2 linked regions of the Caenorhabditis elegans genome follow. The protein of the gene in region 1 purifies or fractionates together with the protein of each later gene. This does not show direct contact. Each region holds a gene or a part of one and is shown on either strand. Other genes may lie near its edges. The genes, in order: cct-6 and nsun-2.

Region 1 (9,542 bases):
CATTCCACCAGTTTGTGCTATCATTCACAGTTAAAAGCTCATCACCATCCCAAGTTGGTTCGGAATAGTTGATTTGTTTTCCAGTTCCGTCCTTCAGCGTCACCTCATTGCTGGATTCTCCACCTTTGAGATCAGCCATTCGGATGGATGTCTCGTCCCATGGCATATTTGGAAGGCTCCATTGCATCCAGACAAGCTTTTTTCCATCCGGGGAGACTCTTGGATAGGCGTAAAAGTCGGCTCCGTGAGCTATGACGTTTTGATTCTTGGTTGCTCGGTCGATGGAGATTAGTCGATTTTCGGGAAATTTTGCATCAGCTTGGTGGGTTTCATTAACACAAAATACATGGGTGTCAGTGGCTGAGAAGTCGGAGAATCTGAAAATGTTTTTTATTTATTTTTGAAAGTTATACACCATTTAAATTATCCCTGACCTAAACATTCGATTATTTCCTTCTGCCAATTGCTCAACTCCGGAATCCGCCGACTTTTGATAGAAAACTCCTTCGATCGTAGCAAACAGCACTGATCCATCAGCAAGAACATGTAGAGCACCTCCTCCGTACTCGTGAATTGCAGTTTGAACAGATTGACCATCAGCCCAGCGTGTACGAGTATCTCCATTCGTTGGTTTTGAGTAAAGCTCTCGTTTTCCAGTTACTGAATTCTGTTCAATCCAGTAGACATTGCCACCGACAACTTGCATCTCGCAGATAGACTTGCAATTACATTTTCCGAAGAGATCTGGTGTGATCGGACTATCCCAACTTCCGTAGACAGCTTCAGTTGCCATTTTTCGGGCACTTTTTATGCTGTAAAAATAGTTATTTTAAGAGAAAAATAAATATATTCGAGATAAATTCGTCAATATTTACAATGAAAGCGTTTTTGTAATTGTGAGGTTTGTTTGTTTCCAAAACAATCAATAAAATTCAATTTGACAGACTTTCTAAGTGGATTAGTTTAAAGTTGTTTAAAAACATTTTTAGAAAAAACTCTTAATTTATAAAACAGGCATCACCTAAACATACAAAAATGCCATCATTATAATAATTGTATTTAAAAAAAGTAAAACTTGCGTTGGGGCAGAAAACAAGCGGAAGATTCGGAGAAGAATCTGCGTGAAATTGAATTTATAGTTTTAGGAAATGACTTAAAGTGATGAAACCAATCAGCTTATCGGTTTTCAAGTATGCGTACGGTTTTTCACCAGTCTCGTCAATTTTATGACATATATGCTGAAAATATGTTGCACTTTATTTTGTGGAATGAATAAAAAAGGAAGTTTATTGAACAAACATTAAAAAAAAAACTAAGCATTTGGAATGATATGGCACAAAAATTCAAATCACAAAAGGAGAGGACAAGAGTTGAATTACACGCAATTTTAGAACGGAACTGAGAATAATTATGCATGAAAAAAAAACATCTCAAATTGAATGAGAAATGAATATTTACAGAAAATCTAAACTAAGCTATTCGAATTTAATTCCCTGAGCCAAAGGAAGTTCCTTGCTGTAATTGATCGTGCAGGTGGATCGTCTCATGTACTGCCTCCAGGAGTCGGATCCTGATTCGCGACCTCCACCGGTCTCCTTTTCTCCGCCGAAGGCTCCTCCGATCTCTGCGCCAGATGTGGGAATGTTGACATTGACGATTCCACAGTCACTTCCTTTTGGTCTGAAAATTAAATGTTAGTTTTAAATTCACAATTTCAGAAAATCTCACCCCATCCATTTGAAAACATTTTGAATATTTGTTGTAAATAGAGAAGAACTCAATCCTTGATCAACTTCATTATTGATTGCAATAGCTTCCTCGAGGGTTGAGAACTTCAGAACATAGAGAATTGGGGCAAAAGTCTCGCGAAGAACAACTGGAGAATCGTGCTTCAATCCAGTGACAATTGTTGGGAGAACAAAGTTTCCATCCCTCTCAAGAACTTTTCCACCGTACTCAATCTTTCCTCCAGAAGCAACTGCTTCGGCAACTGAAGCCTTGTACTTTCCAACGGCCTGTTGGTTGTGAAGTGGGCCAATAATTGTGTTGGAATCCAATGGACATCCGATTCTTGATTCAAATTGAGCATAAGCTTTCTTCAATCTCTCGAGAACTTGATCGTAAACCTTATCGTGAACAATGAGTCTTCTCGTGGTTGTACATCTCTGTCCAGCAGTTCCAACGGCGGCGAAAACTGTTGCCGGTACAACCATGTTCAAATCAGCATCCTCGTTAACAATGATAGCATTGTTTCCACCGAGCTCGAGTAGAAGCTTTCCGAAACGAGCCTGAACTTGTTGTCCAACGATCTTTCCAATTTCTGATGAACCGGTGAATGAAACTAGATTGACTCTCTTATCCTTCACAAGAGCTTGACCGACATCACCCTCTCCACAGACAAGGGAACAGAGAGCTGGATTTACATTATTGGCAACAAGAACCTCCTCGACAAGTCTGAAAATAGTTATTTAGTGATTACAATTATGAAATAAGCGAGCTTACTTGGTCACAGCAATAGCTGTCAATGGTGTGGATGGAGCTGGCTTCCAGACAACAGAATTTCCTGTGACAAGAGCTAAAGCGTTATTCCATCCATACACTGCACATGGGAAATTGAAAGCCGAAATCACACCAACAACTCCAAGTGGATTCCATTGTTCGAGAAGAGCGTGTCCTGGACGCTCAGAAGGAAAGATTTTTCCTTCAAGTGATCTAGAGAGTCCAGTAGCGTAGTCGCAAATATCGACGTATTCTTGAACTTCTCCAACTCCTTCGGCAGAAATTTTTCCCATCTCGAGGGACACGAGCTTTCCCAGGTTTTGCAACTGCGTACGGAGCTTGTCTCCGATTTGACGGACGATTTCTCCACGTCGTGGTGCTGGTACCTCGCACCAATCGTTATAAGCCTTTTTAGCTTCAGAGATGGCGATTTCATAGTCTTGTACGTTTCCATTTTGTACCTGGAATTTGAAAGTTTTAAAACGTTTAGGGTATGTTTTTGAAACTTACATTAGCAATAGGGGAGTTATTTGCTGGAGCAAATGACTGAACAACTTGTCCACTCGCCGCCCATTTTCCATGAAAGACTCCGGCGTTGTTCTCCGTGAGACCAAGCTCTTTCAGGAATCCGTACTTTGAATCGTTGATCAGCAATTGCGACGCCATTCTGGTCTGCAAGGTAGCTGCAGACATTCCACTGCTCAACAATCGGTTCATCTGGAAACAAAAATATATTATTGTTAGACGCTTTGAAACAGAAGGTATTAGAAAACGAAGAGGTTAGTGGTCAAAAAACAAGAATGAATTGAAAAATGTTCGAAGGAGATTGAATGAAATGTATGGGCGGAGCGAGACACGGGCAGATTGTTTATGACGACGAAAACTGAGATGAAATTGATTGTTAATCAAGGAATTCAAGGACAGATTGCAGATCAATATCTATAAGACTATAGAATGCTGTAAATTTTATGACGTGGAACATGATACAAGGCTAATGATTTACAGCGGTTACAAGTTGTGTTTTTATGGCAGGCAACGTTTTATATATCTGATTGCAGAAACATTTTTCAAAAAATGCGCTCATAGCTCATGAAAAAAAAAATGCGGCATGCCAGTCCGAGGTAAAAACGAAGAAATGACGAGTCACGTGACTATTAAAAATATGAAACCACTTCGTGATAATTATAATAATTCTTTGATTATTAATATTAACTCATTCCCTTGTCATAAATATCATTTTCTCAGTCGTGATCTGCGGAATAGTAGTATTCTGCGTATTCGCGGCAAAGAAGGCGTGCAGCCGGTTGATATATATTTAGTTTCCGAATCAATGATGATATGAAGACAACCATGATAAAGAAGAACACAATGCAGTGACCACTAAAATTTGTGAAATGGAAATTGTGGAAAATTGCAGTCGCTTGCTCGACACAAAAAGAGCTATTCGGCTTATACATAACTTCAGGATAAAATTAATTCCCAGAAATTCAAATAAAAACACAGATCCACTTAGTTTGTATATGTTTCGTTGAAAAGGCGAATATTCGCACAAATTTCAATCTCTCGCACAATTTTTAACTACGGGAAAGCTAACAACATGGAATTATTGTGTCAACTTAATTGTAAATGTTTTAAAATGTTATTTTCACTGTAGAGTGTATTAAGCAAAATGCATTACATTTTTGAGCAATTTCAAATAAATCCCAATTTGGAAAAACTTGCAAAGAATTTGAATTCCCGGTAATTTTTTTCAAATAAAAACGCTTACCTTCTTAGCTGCTTTTGCAGCAACTGATGCTGCATTGGCAGCGGCCGCGCATCGTTTGCATCGTCTTATTCCCGAAAAGGGTGTATTGGGGCATTTTTACTGCGGAACAATGTAAATAATGAAAAACCTAATTTTGAAACACCGCGTAAATCCTCCCCGAAAAGCGTAGAATGTCTCTGCGTGGTGAGACCCAGTTGCGAAATTGTGTGCGCCTTTAGAAGCGAATTTATTTTCTAGAATAAATTCAAACGAGAATCATTGTTTTTCAAGGATTTCTGTTGAAAGTCTTTATTTTTTATTTAAAAAGTTATGTAATAATACATTTTAGAACCTTTTTGAATTGTAATATGCTCTCGAACCTTTTTATGCGTGTCTATTTTCCTCTTGAATCGTTTTCCAATCTCATTTCTCCGTTTTTTAGTTTTTGTTGGTTTTACTGAGATATTTCATAGTTGAATTCTTGTTTTCAGGTAGTATGTCGTCAATCCAGTGCCTGAACCCGAAAGCTGAGTTAGCTAGGCATGCTGCCGCTCTCGAGCTTAATATTAGTGGAGCTCGTGGACTTCAAGACGTCATGAGATCGAACCTCGGACCAAAGGGAACTCTCAAGATGTGAGAATAAACTGATCAAATGTATAATTGAGACTATAATCACATTTTCAGGCTCGTATCTGGAGCTGGGGATATCAAATTGACGAAGGATGGAAATGTCTTGCTTCACGAAATGGTTTGATCGTTTTGTTCAGATTCAGCGTTTAGCACTATTTAATTTCAGGCGATTCAACATCCAACAGCCTCAATGATTGCCAAGGCTTCGACGGCACAAGACGACGTGACTGGAGATGGAACCACATCCACCGTTCTCCTTATCGGAGAGCTCTTGAAACAAGCCGAATCTCTAGTTCTCGAGGTGATCAATTTCCAAAGTTTAACTTTAAACATTTATTTAAAATTTTAGGGTCTTCATCCACGTATTGTTACTGAAGGCTTCGAGTGGGCTAACACAAAAACCCTCGAGTTGCTTGAAAAGTTCAAGAAAGAGGCTCCCGTTGAGCGTGACCTCCTTGTAGAGGTGTGCCGCACTGCTCTTCGTACCAAACTTCATCAGAAACTTGCTGATCACATCACCGAGTAAGAAACAAACAATTAAAAAGTAGTAAAAAACATTATCTTCTTAATTTCAGATGCGTTGTCGACGCCGTTTTGGCAATCCGTCGTGATGGAGAGGAACCAGATCTTCATATGGTTGAAAAGATGGAAATGCACCACGACAGTGATATGGATACCACACTTGTTCGTGGATTAGTTCTCGATCATGGAGCTCGTCACCCAGATATGCCAAGACACGTTAAAGACGCTTACATTCTCACTTGCAACGTTTCTTTGGAATACGAGAAGACTGAAGTCAACTCGGGACTTTTCTACAAGACCGCCAAGGAACGTGAGGCACTTCTCGCTGCCGAACGTGAATTCATTACTCGTCGTGTTCACAAGATTATTGAGTTGAAGAAGAAGGTTATTGATAATTCTCCAGATGGTAAGAATAAGGGATTCGTTGTTATCAACCAGAAAGGAATCGATCCTCCATCTCTTGACTTGCTTGCTTCCGAAGGAATTCTTGCTCTTCGTCGTGCCAAGAGACGTAACATGGAACGTCTTCAGCTGGCCGTCGGAGGAGAAGCCGTCAACTCAGTTGATGATTTGACTCCAGAGGATCTTGGATGGGCTGGACTCGTTTACGAGCATTCCCTTGGAGAAGAGAAATACACGTTTATCGAGGAATGCCGTGCTCCAAAATCTGTGACTCTTCTTATCAAGGGACCAAACAAGCATACCATCACTCAAATCAAGGATGCTATTCATGATGGACTTCGTGCTGTTTTCAACACCATCGTTGACAGTGAGTTTAAATTTTATTAACTTCTGTTCTAGTAACCTATTTTCAGAGGCTGTTCTCCCTGGAGCTGCTGCTTTCGAAATTGCTGCCTACGTGATGTTGAAAAAAGATGTTGAGAACCTGAAGGGACGTGCCAAGCTCGGAGCTGAAGCGTTTGCTCAAGCTCTTCTCGTTATTCCAAAGACACTGGCCGTAAATGGAGGATATGATGCTCAGGAAACACTTGTTAAGCTTATTGAGGAGAAAACCGCCGCTGGACCAGATATCGCCGTTGGACTCGATCTCGAAACCGGAGGAGCTGTCGAGCCACAAGGAATTTGGGACAATGTGACGGTGAAGAAGAACAGTATCTCGTCGGCGACAGTACTTGCATGCAATCTCTTGCTTGTTGATGAAGTGATGCGCGCTGGTATGACCAACTTGAAGCAGCCACAACCAGAATAAATATTAAAATTGTTTTTCTATTCCCCCCAGTGTGTCCGTTTCTATGATCTGTTGCCGTGTTTGATAATATTCCCCATCCCGTTCAACAAGCCCAACTTTACCGTTTGTTTTTATAGCTTTCTTCGAGCGATAATCAACAAAGATCGATCTGTTTTCTTTTTCTTTATTATCCCCCAATTTCTTAAATTTTCATCAAAATTTATTGCTTTTCATTTGAGAATTTGTTGATTTTTTCATGCACGTTCCTTTTTGATTTTGCGCAATAAAGGCTTCTTGCTTTTAATATTATTATGATTGGTTTCCGGTTGTGTATGTGCGCGAAGCTTTATTTCTATAGAAAATTAATATGATATTCGGAGAATTGACATTTTCGAATGTCCCGCTAAGAGAGCGCGGCCTAACAAATACCACCTCGGTCGCGTGTATTATATACGAAAAGGGTGAATGCATTTCTGTAGGTTTATGTTAAAAATTGGTTTTTTTACATTTTCCCATTGTAAAAGCATATTTTTAATTAGTTTTCCAAACATTTAAGTTCTTAAATTCCAGAGAAATGGCTGCTGAACCTCCATCACTTGAGGAACTTCTGGAAAAGAAGAAAAGAGAAGAAGATGAATTGGCAAAGGTATGTATTATTTTTTAATATCTCAAAAAACATCGCATATTTTTTAAAAACCAAACCATTTTCAAATTTTCAGCCAAAATTTCTGTCAAAAGCCGAGCGGGCCGCATTGGCTCTGAAACGAAGAGAAGAGGAGGTCGCAAAACTGCGTGAAACACAAAAACAAGCTGAAGAAGCTCGAAAAAATTGGGGACGCACCGAAAAAACATCAGACGATAGAAGAGATCGTGGACTTGACCGAGGCAATGATCGTGACAGAGACCGTGAACGGGAACGTGATCGTGATCGTCGACGGGATCGTCGGGAGAGAAGTGGTTCTCGAGATAGACGACGAAGGAGCAGGAGCCGTGATCGTGATGGTGGAAGGCGTCGAGATAGAAGTAGAAGTAGAGATAGAAGGGATCGAAATGATGATCGGAAAAGAGATAGAAACGAGGATAGTGATAATGAAGAAGATGTTAGTAAAATGGCAGATGCTGTTAAAGACAGATATCTTGGAAAACAGAAGGAAAAGAAGAAAAGAGGACGGAGACTTCATGAGAAAAAGTTTGTTTTTGATTGGGATGCTGGAGAGGATACATCACAGGATTATAACAAATTATATCAAAGTCGACATGAAATTCAGTTCTTTGGAAGAGGATCTGTTGCTGGAACGGATGTGAATGCTCAGAAAAAAGAGAAGAACTCGTTCTACCAGGAAATGATGGAAAATCGAAGAACTGTTGATGAGAAAGAGCAAGAGATGCATCGCCTTGAAAAAGAACTGAAAAAAGAAAAGAAAGTGGCTCATGATGATCGTCATTGGAGAATGAAAGAACTTTCTGAGATGTCTGACAGAGATTGGCGTATCTTCCGTGAAGATTTCAATATTTCTATTAAAGGAGGCAGAGTTCCACGACCTCTTCGTAATTGGGAAGAAGCTGGATTTCCAGATGAAGTCTACCAAGCTGTCAAAGAAATTGGTTATCTGGAACCTACACCTATTCAGAGACAAGCCATCCCAATTGGTCTTCAGAATCGTGACGTAATCGGTGTAGCTGAAACTGGATCAGGAAAAACTGCAGCTTTCCTTCTACCGCTGCTTGTATGGATCACAAGCCTTCCAAAAATGGAACGACAAGAACATCGGGACTTGGGTCCATATGCTATTATTATGGCTCCAACAAGAGAATTGGCTCAGCAGATTGAAGAGGAAACCAACAAGTTCGGAAAGCTTCTCGGTATCAAGACCGTTTCAGTAATCGGAGGAGCCAGCAGAGAAGATCAAGGAATGAAGCTTCGAATGGGTGTTGAAGTGGTCATTGCAACACCAGGTCGTCTTCTCGATGTTCTGGAAAATCGATATCTTCTCCTGAATCAGTGTACCTATGTGATCCTTGACGAAGCTGATCGAATGCTTGACATGGGATTTGAACCAGATGTTCAGAAGGTTCTGGAGTACATGCCAGATACAAATATGAAGAAAGATACGGATGAATTCGATAATGAAGAAGCTTTGATGAAGGGATTCTCAACAAGAGAGAAATATCGACAAACTGTCATGTTCACAGCTACAATGTCTTCAGCTATCGAAAGACTTGCCAGACAATATCTCAGAAGACCAGCAGTTGTACATATTGGATCTGCTGGAAAGCCTACAGAAAGAGTTGAACAGGTAATTTATTTTATTCTTGGTAGAAAAGAAAAATAATTATGAGAATCGTTTTTCATATTTCGACATTAAGCTGAACTAGAAAAATTACTAGAACTAAGGCAGCTTCCTAAAGTAGCTTCATAAAAGTTGTTAACTAAAATTTGCTAAAAACTAATTAAGAACACCCAAAAAATTGTTTTTTAACTGAAAAAAGTGAAAAATTGTTTGGTTTTTTGTTGGTTTTCTAAAAAATAAAATCAAAAAATTAATTTTTCGTCAAATTACCAAAAAATGCCAAAAAAAAGTCCCATCTCTGGATTGAAACCACGCAGAAAGGGGGAATTCTGTTTTCAGTGTCTTTTTTCAGAGGCTAGTATTTTTTAGTAAGAAATTTCAAAAAAATTTCAAGTTTTTTAAAAATTCCAAAATATTTCGTATTCAGGTAGTCTACATGGTTCCAGAGGATCGTAAACGTAAGAAGCTCGTCGAAGTGCTCGAATCACAATTCCAACCACCGATTATTATTTTTGTCAATCAGAAGAAAGGTGCTGATATGCTCTCAAAAGGTCTTACCAAACTTGGTTTCAAGCCAACAGTTCTTCACGGAGGAAAAGGTCAAGATCAAAGAGAATACGCTCTGCAGGCTCTTAAAGAAGGAACGAGTGATATTCTTGTGGCT
Region 2 (9,639 bases), on another chromosome or scaffold:
TTCCAAAAAATCACAAAAAAAAGGACATTTTCCCAAATATTCGCGCATAAATCTCTGAAAATTCACTATTTTTGCTTGATTTTCTCTCGAAAATCCGAAATTTTTAGAAAAATTCCCAAAAAAAAAAAAAAGAAGTTTTCCAACTATTTTCGTCAAAAAATTGAATTTTTCTATTATTCCATCAAAATTCATCATAAAATTTAATTCTTTAGCTGAAAAAATCACAATTTTTCCAATATCTCCCATCAAAATGTGAAAATTTTCCGAAAAAAGGGCTTGTTTTCGCTTGAAATGCAATTTTTTTAAAGAAAAAACAAAATCTTCCAAAAAATTCAAAAACGGGAAATACAGTTTTTTAGCTGAAAAAATCACAATTTTTCCAACATCTCCCTTCAAAATTTGAAAATTTTCCTTTTTTTTTCCCCAATATTCGTAGAAAAATCACTATTTTTGCTTGATTTTCTCTCGAAAATCCAAAATTTCAGAAAAATCGCAAAAACATGAGGTTTTCCAACTATAGTTTTCATCCAAAAATCAGAAAATCACCTTTTTCCATCATTATTCCATCAAAATTCGTTAAACATAATTTTTTGTCGCGAAAGTTAAGATTTTTCCCAAAATCCCTGAGAAAAATCCGAAGTTTTCGAAAAATCGCAAAAAACCAAGTTTTCTAACTATGTTCATCCACCAAAAATCAGAAAATTCAACAAAAAAAGAACAAAAATCGTAAAAAAAAAATTTTTTAGCGCGAAAATTGAGTTTTTCCCCCCAAAATCTCTGGAAAAAATCACTATTTTTGTTTGATTTTCACTCGAAAATTCATCGTTTTTCAAAAAATTCGAAAATCCTAAAAAATTCAGATTTTCCCAGTTTTTCGCGAACATAAATGCAAAATTCTCTGAAAAATCACATTTTCACCAAGTTTTGTCTCAAAAATATCGAAATTTACAAGTTTTTTTAACTAGAAAAATGTCTGAAAATGTCATTTTTAAACATTATTCCTCCCATTGTTAATTTATTTTTTCTTGTTAATCATTTTCCTAAAAATGTTCGGTTTTTTACCACTCATTCCCCCCGTTTTTATGTGTAAACTTTGGTGTTTTTTTTTTAAAATAATTTTACCCCCAATTTTCCAGAAAAAGTCTCAAAAATTGAGATTTTCATATAAAAATCCGGTTTTTCCCGCAAATTTGCCCCCTAAAAATGCAATTTTCCTGGTTTTTGCTTCTTTAAAATCATTATCCTGCTGTGTTTTTTGTCTTTTTCGTTTTTGTGGTATTAAATTTGAATTTCTGGTGTTATTTTTTATTGAATTTGATCTTTTTTTTGGTTAATTTTACCCTATTTTATCTCATTTTTCTCTAGGGTTTCGAATATTGATCTTAAATCAAAATCACCAATTTTTGGCGGATTTCTTGTTTTTTTTTGTTGAGAAATTGAATTTTATTTGAAATTTTCAGGCTTTTCTAATATAAAATTCCCGAAATTTTCAGAGAAAAACCTCAAAAAATTTACTAAACCTTTCGTAATTTTCAGAAAAAAAGTTCACAAAAAATTTTGAAAATTTTCTGGAAATTTCAGATTTATCTCAAAAATTCACAAAAAAATATGAATATGAAATAATTTCTTAAAAATTGGAAATAAATTACAATTTCGTTGAAAATTGCCATGATTTCAGTAAAATTTCAGGCTAATTCACAAAAAATTCGAATTCTGTAAATTTCAACCTAGAAATTCAAACAAAAAAAACTCAGAATAATTTCAGAAAATTCCAGATAATCTGAGAAATTGCCATGTAAAATTGCCGAAAATTGTAGAAAAAAATCGCAAAAAATTGGCAAAAATTTCGGAAAAATCTTTTAAAAAAACCTTGAATATTTCAAGAAAAAATCGCAAAAATCTGAAAAAATTGGCAAAAATTTCGGAAAAATATTCTGAAAAATTCCAAAAACCCTCGAATATTTTACGAAAAAAATTCTTAAAAAATCCGGAAAATTCCCGCAATTTTCAGAATAATCTTTTTTTTTCGGAAACCGCAGAAAATTCTTTAAAAAAAGCTCAAAATTTCTGAAAAATCTTTTTTAAAAAACCTTGAATATTTCACAAAAAAAATCGCAAAAAATCTGAAAAAATTGGCAAAAAAATCCAAACCAAATTTTTGCAGAAGGAAAAATAATGAAAAAGTGAATTGATATTTTTGGGAATTATTAAAAAACCTGAAAATTTTCCAAAAAACGCTATTTAAAATTGCCGAAAATTTCAGAAATGTTTTTTTGAAAAATTCAAAAACTCGAAAAATTGGCAAAAAAAGGGAAAAAAATTTATAAACTTCTCGAACATTTCTGAAAAGTCTAAAAAAATCCCCAAAAAATTTGAAAAATTGTGAAAATTTCAAAAAAATCTGAAAATTTCCAGAAAATTCACGAAAACAATCTGAAAATTTTTCGACATTTTTAGAATAAACTAGAACCGCCCAAAAATTCGAAAACAATTTTTTAATAATTCTAAATAATCTCAAACCAAACAAAAAAAATCTGAAAAATTTTCGAAATCTTTTTGAAAATTAAAAAAAAAATCCCAAAAATTCTGTAAATTCCCTGAGAAATTTCCGAAATTTTTTTTGTAAAAATTGTCCTGTAAAATTCTCGAAAATTTCTGAAAAATCAAAAAATAAACTTTGAATATTTCACAAAAAAAATTCCCGAAAATTGGCAAAAATTTCTGAAAAATATTCGAAAAAATGCAGTAAAATGCTCGAAAGTTCCAATTATTTCTAAAAATATTTTTGCAGAAGGAATTACAATTTCCTTTTAAAAAAAAGAAACAGAAAAATTCTTTTAAAAATCTGAAAAAAAACGAAAATTTCTGAAAAAAAAATCCAAAAACCCTCGAGTATTTCACGAAAAATATCCCAAAAATTCGAACAAAAATCAGTAAAATTCCCGCAATTTTCAGAATAATCTTTTTTTTCAGAAACTACAGAAAATTCTTTTAAAAAAAGCTCAAAATTTCTGAAAAATCTTTTTTAAAAAACCTTGAATATTTCACAAAAAAAATCGCAAAAAATCTGTAAAAATTGGCTAAAATTTCATTAAAATATTCTGAAAAAATCCATAAAAACCTCGAATATTTTACGAAAAAAAATCCTTAAAATCTGAAAAATTGGAGAACACTTCAAAAAAAAATTCAAAAAATTGGCAAAAAATAGAAATTTTTGTGAAGGAATGGTTTCAACAGGAATTTAAAAATTGTTTTTCAGAGTCTTTTTTTCAAAAATTTCTTTTTTTTTCCTATAGTGAAATATTCAAAGTTTATTTTTTGATTTTTCAGAAATTTTCGAGAATTTTATAGATTTTTTTCTGAAATTTAATATTTTTTCGACAATTTTCTGGGGGTTCTTTTTGAAAAGATTTTACAATTTTTTGCCAACTTTTTGAGTTTTTGGATTTTTTCAGAATTTTTTTTCTGAAATTTCCGGCAATTTTACAGGACAATTTTTACAAAAAAAATTTCGGAAATTTCTCAGGGAATTTACAGAATTTTTGGGATTTTTTTCCAAAATTTATTCTCAATAGAAATTACTAACAAAACCCGAAAATTTGCAATTTTTCTCAAAATTTCAGGGTTCAACGTTCGCCGCTAGAAAAAAACGCGCCAAAAACGATGGTTCACAGTAGCCGCCGCAAGTTCAAGAGCAAGAATAAGGGCCATGAGCCGAGAGAAAATGTTTGGCGTGACGATCGTGATGCTCCAGGCAATCAGGGATATCGTATGGTGGAGAAGGAGAATGAAAAGTATTGGCAATATTATAAGGAGCAGAATGTCTTTCCATTGGAGCAATTTGACGAGTTTCGGGCGGCTCTTCAACGAGATTTGCCTGTTTCTTTCAGATTTCAGGGTTGTCATAAGTTCGTTTTTTTTGAAAATTGATTGGATGGACAAAAAATGTGTGAAAAAATTAATTTTCCACGGATTTTCAGTTAAAATTATGAATTTCAACGTAAAATTCACAAAATTTGGCCTAAAACGCTCCAATTTTGTGATTCTTTTTTTGCTCAAAAACAATTAGAAAAAAATTGATTTCCCACGAATTTTCAGAGAAAGAACTGAAAAATTTTCCAGACATTCTGATTTTTTTCAATTTTTTTGCTAAAAAAGTTCAAAAAATTTTTTACCGACATTGAATTGATGAAAAATTCAATTTTTTGCAAAAAAAAATGGACATTCTCGCTGAAATTTAATTAAAAATTTGAAAATTGACAAAAAATTCTAAATTTCTAAAAAAAATTACCGGAAAATTTGAAAAATTTTTGGAAAATTAACAAAAAAAAAATAAAATTTTTGCAAATTTCGCAGAAACTGCAAAAAATTCTAAATTTTCCCGGAAATTATCAGAAAATTTCAAATATTAGTGAAAAATTTGACGAAAATTATGAAATTATTAACGGAAATTTCGAAATTTTGCAGAAAGCTGATAAAAATTCAGATTTTTGTATAAACTCAACGAAAAATTCCAAATTTTTGCGGAAATTTAATTGAAAATTCAGAAAAAAACATATAAAGAGCAGAATGTCTTTCCATTGGAGCAATTTGCCTGTTTCTTTTAGATTTCAGGGTTGTCATAAGTTCGTTTTTTGAAAATTGATTGGATGGACAAAAAATCTGTGAAAAAATTAATTTTCCACGAATTTTCAGTTAAAATTATGAATTTCAACGTAAAATTCAAAAAATTTGGCCTAAAACGCTCCAATTTTGTGATTCTTTTTTTGCTCAAAAACAATTAGAAAAAAAATTGATTTTCGACGAATTTTTTGGAGGAAAAACTGAATTTTTAAGGTTTTTTAGCTCAAAATTTGGATATTTAAAAACCCAAAATTTGGATATTTTTGATTTAAACAAATTAAAATTCCATCTTTTCCTCTAAACATTTGGGGAAAACTGTAAAAAATCTGATTTTCCAAGGGTTTTAGTAAAAATTTTGCGAATAAACTGTTAGAAAATTCAAAATTTCAGTGGAAAAGTCAACGAAAATTTTAAAAAATTTCACAGAAAACTGTTGGAAAACTTAAAATTTAACGAAAAATCCAAAAACAAGATCTACCAAAAGAAGATCTACGTTTTCAGGATCTGGCACCGTGCCAACTGCGGTTTTCTCGATGAAAAACGTAACAACGATGCTCCGATGTTACGCGTCGCGTGTTGTTAAGCGTTTCTTCTAGAAGAAAATTTCAAAAAATATCTTTCTGAACGCTAAACAACACGCGACGCGTAACATCGGAGCATCGTTGTTACGTTTTTCATCGAGAAAACCGCAGTTGGCACGGTGCCAGATCCTGAAAACGTAGATCTTCTTTTCGTAGATCTCCTTCTCGTAGATCTTGTTTTCGTAGATCTTGTTTTTGAACAGATCTTCAAAACGTGGTGCCTCGAAAAATTAAAAAAATTTTGCAGAAAATTGACGAAAAATTCAAAATTTTAGAGGAAAATCAAAAAAAATCATTGAATTTTTCTGCCGAAATTTAATGAAAAATTCGAAATTTTTGAACACTATTTAACAAAAAATTCAAAAATTTTGCAAAGAAAAATAACGAAAAAATGTTAAAAATTTAGTAGAAAACTGACGAAATATTAACAATGTTTGCTGAAATTAAACTGAAAATTACAAAAATTTGCAGAAAACTAACGAAAAAAAAATGTTTGGTGAAAAATCAACGAGAATTCCAAATTTTTCCAAAAAATTAGCGAAAAATTTTAATATCATGCAGAAAACTGATGAAAAATTGAAAATTTTAGTGGAAAACTGACGGGAAATTCAGTGTTTTTTTGCCGAAATTTAACGAAAAAATTTAACAAAATTCAAAAATTTTGCAAAAAACTGATGGACAATTCAATTTTTTAGTGGTAAATTAACGAAAAAGTTTGAAAAATCTTGCAGAAAACTGACCAAATATAAAAAATTTTCGCTGAAATTTAATAAAAAATTTAAAAAATCAAAAGAAAATTGTCGAAAATTCAAAATGGTTCCTAAAAATTAACGAAAAATTCAATTTTTTCAAAAAAAAATTCTGAAAAAATCCAAAAAATCCTGAAAGCTCTGAAAAATAGGCAAAAATTTCATTTAAAAATTCCCCCAAAAAAATCTCAAAAATTCCGAAATTTTTGATGAAATTTTCAACTGAAAATTCAACAAAAAAAAACTTGTTTACAGAGACCGCGAGCAGCTGATCCATGAGATGGAAAATCGATTTTTCGGGAAAATCATGGAAGCCGGAGACACTGCTGTATGTGTTCCAAAAAGTCTTCCATGGTACAAAGAAGCCTATCAAACGCCAATGTCACGTACCGCTGTCCGAAGTCATCCGATCCTTGCACAACTTCACAATTTCCTTGTCACAGAGGCTGAACTCGGAAATTTGTCCCGACAGGAGGCGGTTTCAATGATTCCACCACTTCTTTTGGCTCCAACTTCTGAGCATTTTGTGCTTGATTTGTGTGCGGCTCCGGGAAGCAAGACCACACAACTTTTGGAAATGATTCATGAGAACGAGGAGAATCCGAGTACGAAAATCGCCGAAAAAATTCCAAAAAAAATTAGTGATTTTCAGAATAATCGAAAAAAAATTCTTGAAAATTTCTGAAAATTCGAAAAAAAAAATTTCGAAAAAAAATCAATAAAATTCTCGTAATTTTCATAAAAATCGGAAACCGCATTCCCGAAAATTAAAAAAAAAAGTACAAATCAACGAAATTTTTTCCAAAAAGTTTCAGAAAATCGCAAAAAAATTCATAAAATTTTCGAAAATTTCTGAAAAATTAGTGAAAATTTAAATTTCATTAAAAAAAAATCTTTAAAATTCCAGAAAATTCACGAAGACAATTTTTTAAAAATAATTCTAAACAATCTCACAAGACCAAACAGACCAAACAAAAAAATTAAAAAAAAGAAAATTTTTGAAAAAAATCCTAAAAACTAAAAAACATTTTGTAAATATGCCGAAAAGTTCATTTAAAAAATTCGAAAAAAAAATCCAAAACCCCTCGAATATTTCAGAAAATAATTCGAAAAAAAGCTCAAAAAATTGGCAAAAATATAGGCAAAGTTTCAAAGAAAAAATCAGTAAAATTCTCAAAATATTACACAAAAAAAGTCCCCAAAAACTCAAAAAAAATTGGCACACATTTTCATTAAAAATCCAAAAAAAAAAATCTAAAAACCCTCGAATATTTAACGAAAAATATCCTAAAAATTCGAAAAAATCAGTAAAATCTCTAATTTTCAGAATAATCTTTTTTTCAAAAAACCACAGAAAATTCTCGAGAAAAAGCTGAAAATTTCAAAAAATCAGCCAATTTTTTGCAAAGAAACGGAAAAAATCCAAAAAACTCATGGAAAATTCGAAAATAAAATCTCAAAAATGTTAGAAAAATCTCTACACATTTTTCGAAAATTTCTGAAATTTTTTTTAAAAACTCCCGAGAATTGCAAAAATTCCCAAAAAAAATCTAAAAAATTCCAGAAAACACGAAAAAATTTGAAAATGTTTTGAAATTTTCAGAATAATCTAAAACCGCTGAAAATTCTGAAACTATTTTTTTTTTAATTGAAAAAAAAATAAATTAAGTTTCACAAGACATTTTGAAAATTTTGGAAAAAATCCCAAAAATTCTGTAAATTTCAACTTAAAAATTAGAAAACAAGCTCAGAATATTTTCAAAAAATTCCAGAAATAATCTTATAAATTTTTCGAAAAATGTCTTGTAAAATTGCCAAAAATTTCTGAAAATAATTCTGAAAAATCCCAAAAATTGGCAAAATTTCTGAAAAATCTTTTAAAAAACCTTGAATATTTCACCAAAAATTCCCAAAACTCTACAAATTTGCAAAAATTTCAAAAAAAAAATTCAAAAACCCTCGAATTTGCAAAAATTTCACGAAAAAAAATTCCAAAAAATTCGAAAAAATCAGTAAAATTCCCGCAATTTTCAGAATAATCACTAAACAAAAACCACAGAAAATTCCTTTATAAAAAAAACTCAAACTTTCAAAATTTCTGAAAAATCATTTAAAAAAACCTTGAATATTTCAGAGAAAATATGCCAAAAATTTGAAAAAATCTTGCAATTTTCAGAATAATCTTTTTTTTTTCAAAAAAGAACCACAGAAAGTACCAAAAAAAAAACTGAAAATTTCAAAAAATCACACTGCAACTTTTTTCGAACGAGGGACGAGGCAAAAAGGTTTCTAGGCCATGGCCGAGGGGCCGACAAGTTTCAGCGGCCATTTATACTGCTTTGTTTTCCGCCTGTTTTCTTTCGTTTTTCACAGTTTTTTCCCGTTTTTTCTTATTAAAACTGATGAATAAATACTTTTTGCAGATGCTAAAACAATTTCCAAGTAAAAAAATTATGTATTCAGTGGGCAAGCAGCGGTGAAAGTGGTCAATGCAATATGATGGATTACGGGAATACAAAACCTAAACTTTTTCTTAAACATGATACATATGCTGCTCTGATGCTGAAGCTACCTGATTTTCATAACGAGACCGCTGAAAAAGTTTTGAGGTTTCCAAAATTCAACTTTTTTGGTGGAAAAGTAGAGATTTTCGCACAAAGAGTTGAATTTTGAAAATCTCAAAACTTTTTCAGCGGTCTCGTTATGAAAATCAGGTAATTTCAGCATCTAAGCATCATATGTATCATGTTTCAGAAAAAGTTTAGGTTTTGTATTACCGTAATCCATCATTTTACATTGACCACTTTCACCGCTACTTACAGACTGAATACATATTTTTTTCATCTGGAAATTATTTTAGCATTAGCAAAAAATATTTATTTATCAGTTTTGATAAGAAAACACGGGAAAAATTGGTGAAAAACAAGAGAAAACAATGCAAGTACAAAATGTCGTAAAATGCGGTGTTTTGTGTGCAAACACCGATTTTTCGCATTTTTTCTCGGCCCTCGTTCGAAAAAAGTTGCAGTGAATCAGCCAAAATTTGTTTTTTGCAGAAGGAATGGTGATCGCAAACGACGTCGACATGAAACGCTGCTACATGCTAATCCATCACACACTGAAACGTTTCCGAACAGCCGCGTGTGCTGTAACCTGCGAAGACGCCGCCCGCTTCCCACACATCTCCGACTCGGATGGTGGCCTAATCCAGTTCGATCGTGTCCTCGCCGACGTCATTTGCTCGGGAGACGGCACACTTCGAAAGAATCCAGAAATCTGGAAGAAATGGACTCCACAAGATGGTCTTGGATTACATCGAATGCAGATTGCAATCGCGAGAAAAGGAGCTCAACAACTGAAAGTCGGCGGGCGAATGGTCTATTCGACGTGCTCAATGAATCCGATTGAGGATGAAGCTGTAGTTGCTCAGTTGCTCAGAGATTCAAAAGGATCACTGAAGCTTGTGGATACTTCATCATTGCTCCCAGAGCTTAAACGAGAGACGGGAGTTGTTCAGTGGAAGGTTTTTGATAGAGATATGAAGTTGTACAAGTCGTTGGAGGATATTAGTGAGGAAAAGATGAAAAAAGTGATTGTTAGCTCACTCTTCCCACCGACTGAGCAAGAGGCAAAGGAGATGAACTTGCATTTTACGTTAGTACTTGAAAAATAAAACATAAATTTGA

Evidence for each region.
Region 2: the proteins of cct-6 (region 1) and nsun-2 fractionate together in Caenorhabditis elegans (co-fractionation; one large-scale study listed by BioGRID). This does not show direct contact.

The regions. Positions count from the first base shown.
Region 1 is NC_003281.10:5,850,883-5,860,424, reverse strand, and holds cct-6 (T-complex protein 1 subunit zeta), read left to right. Parts: upstream 1-4,737; 5' UTR 4,738-4,742; coding exon 4,743-4,879; intron 4,880-4,930; coding exon 4,931-4,994; intron 4,995-5,042; coding exon 5,043-5,177; intron 5,178-5,225; coding exon 5,226-5,398; intron 5,399-5,451; coding exon 5,452-6,167; intron 6,168-6,213; coding exon 6,214-6,608; 3' UTR 6,609-6,895; downstream 6,896-9,542. Other genes in the region: dpf-4 (Peptidase S9 prolyl oligopeptidase catalytic domain-containing protein), read right to left, coding at 1-377, 435-793; alh-9 (Putative aldehyde dehydrogenase family 7 member A1 homolog), read right to left, coding at 1,476-1,680, 1,729-2,454, 2,503-2,960, 3,010-3,216; ddx-23 (putative ATP-dependent RNA helicase DDX23), read left to right, coding at 7,162-7,233, 7,307-8,884, 9,306-9,542. UniProt on the Caenorhabditis elegans protein: Molecular chaperone; assists the folding of proteins upon ATP hydrolysis. Known to play a role, in vitro, in the folding of actin and tubulin.
Region 2 is NC_003279.8:1,189,535-1,199,173, forward strand, and holds the start of nsun-2 (tRNA (cytosine(34)-C(5))-methyltransferase), read left to right. Parts: upstream 1-3,623; 5' UTR 3,624-3,663; coding exon 3,664-3,908; intron 3,909-6,208; coding exon 6,209-6,558; intron 6,559-9,009; coding exon 9,010-9,607; intron 9,608-9,639.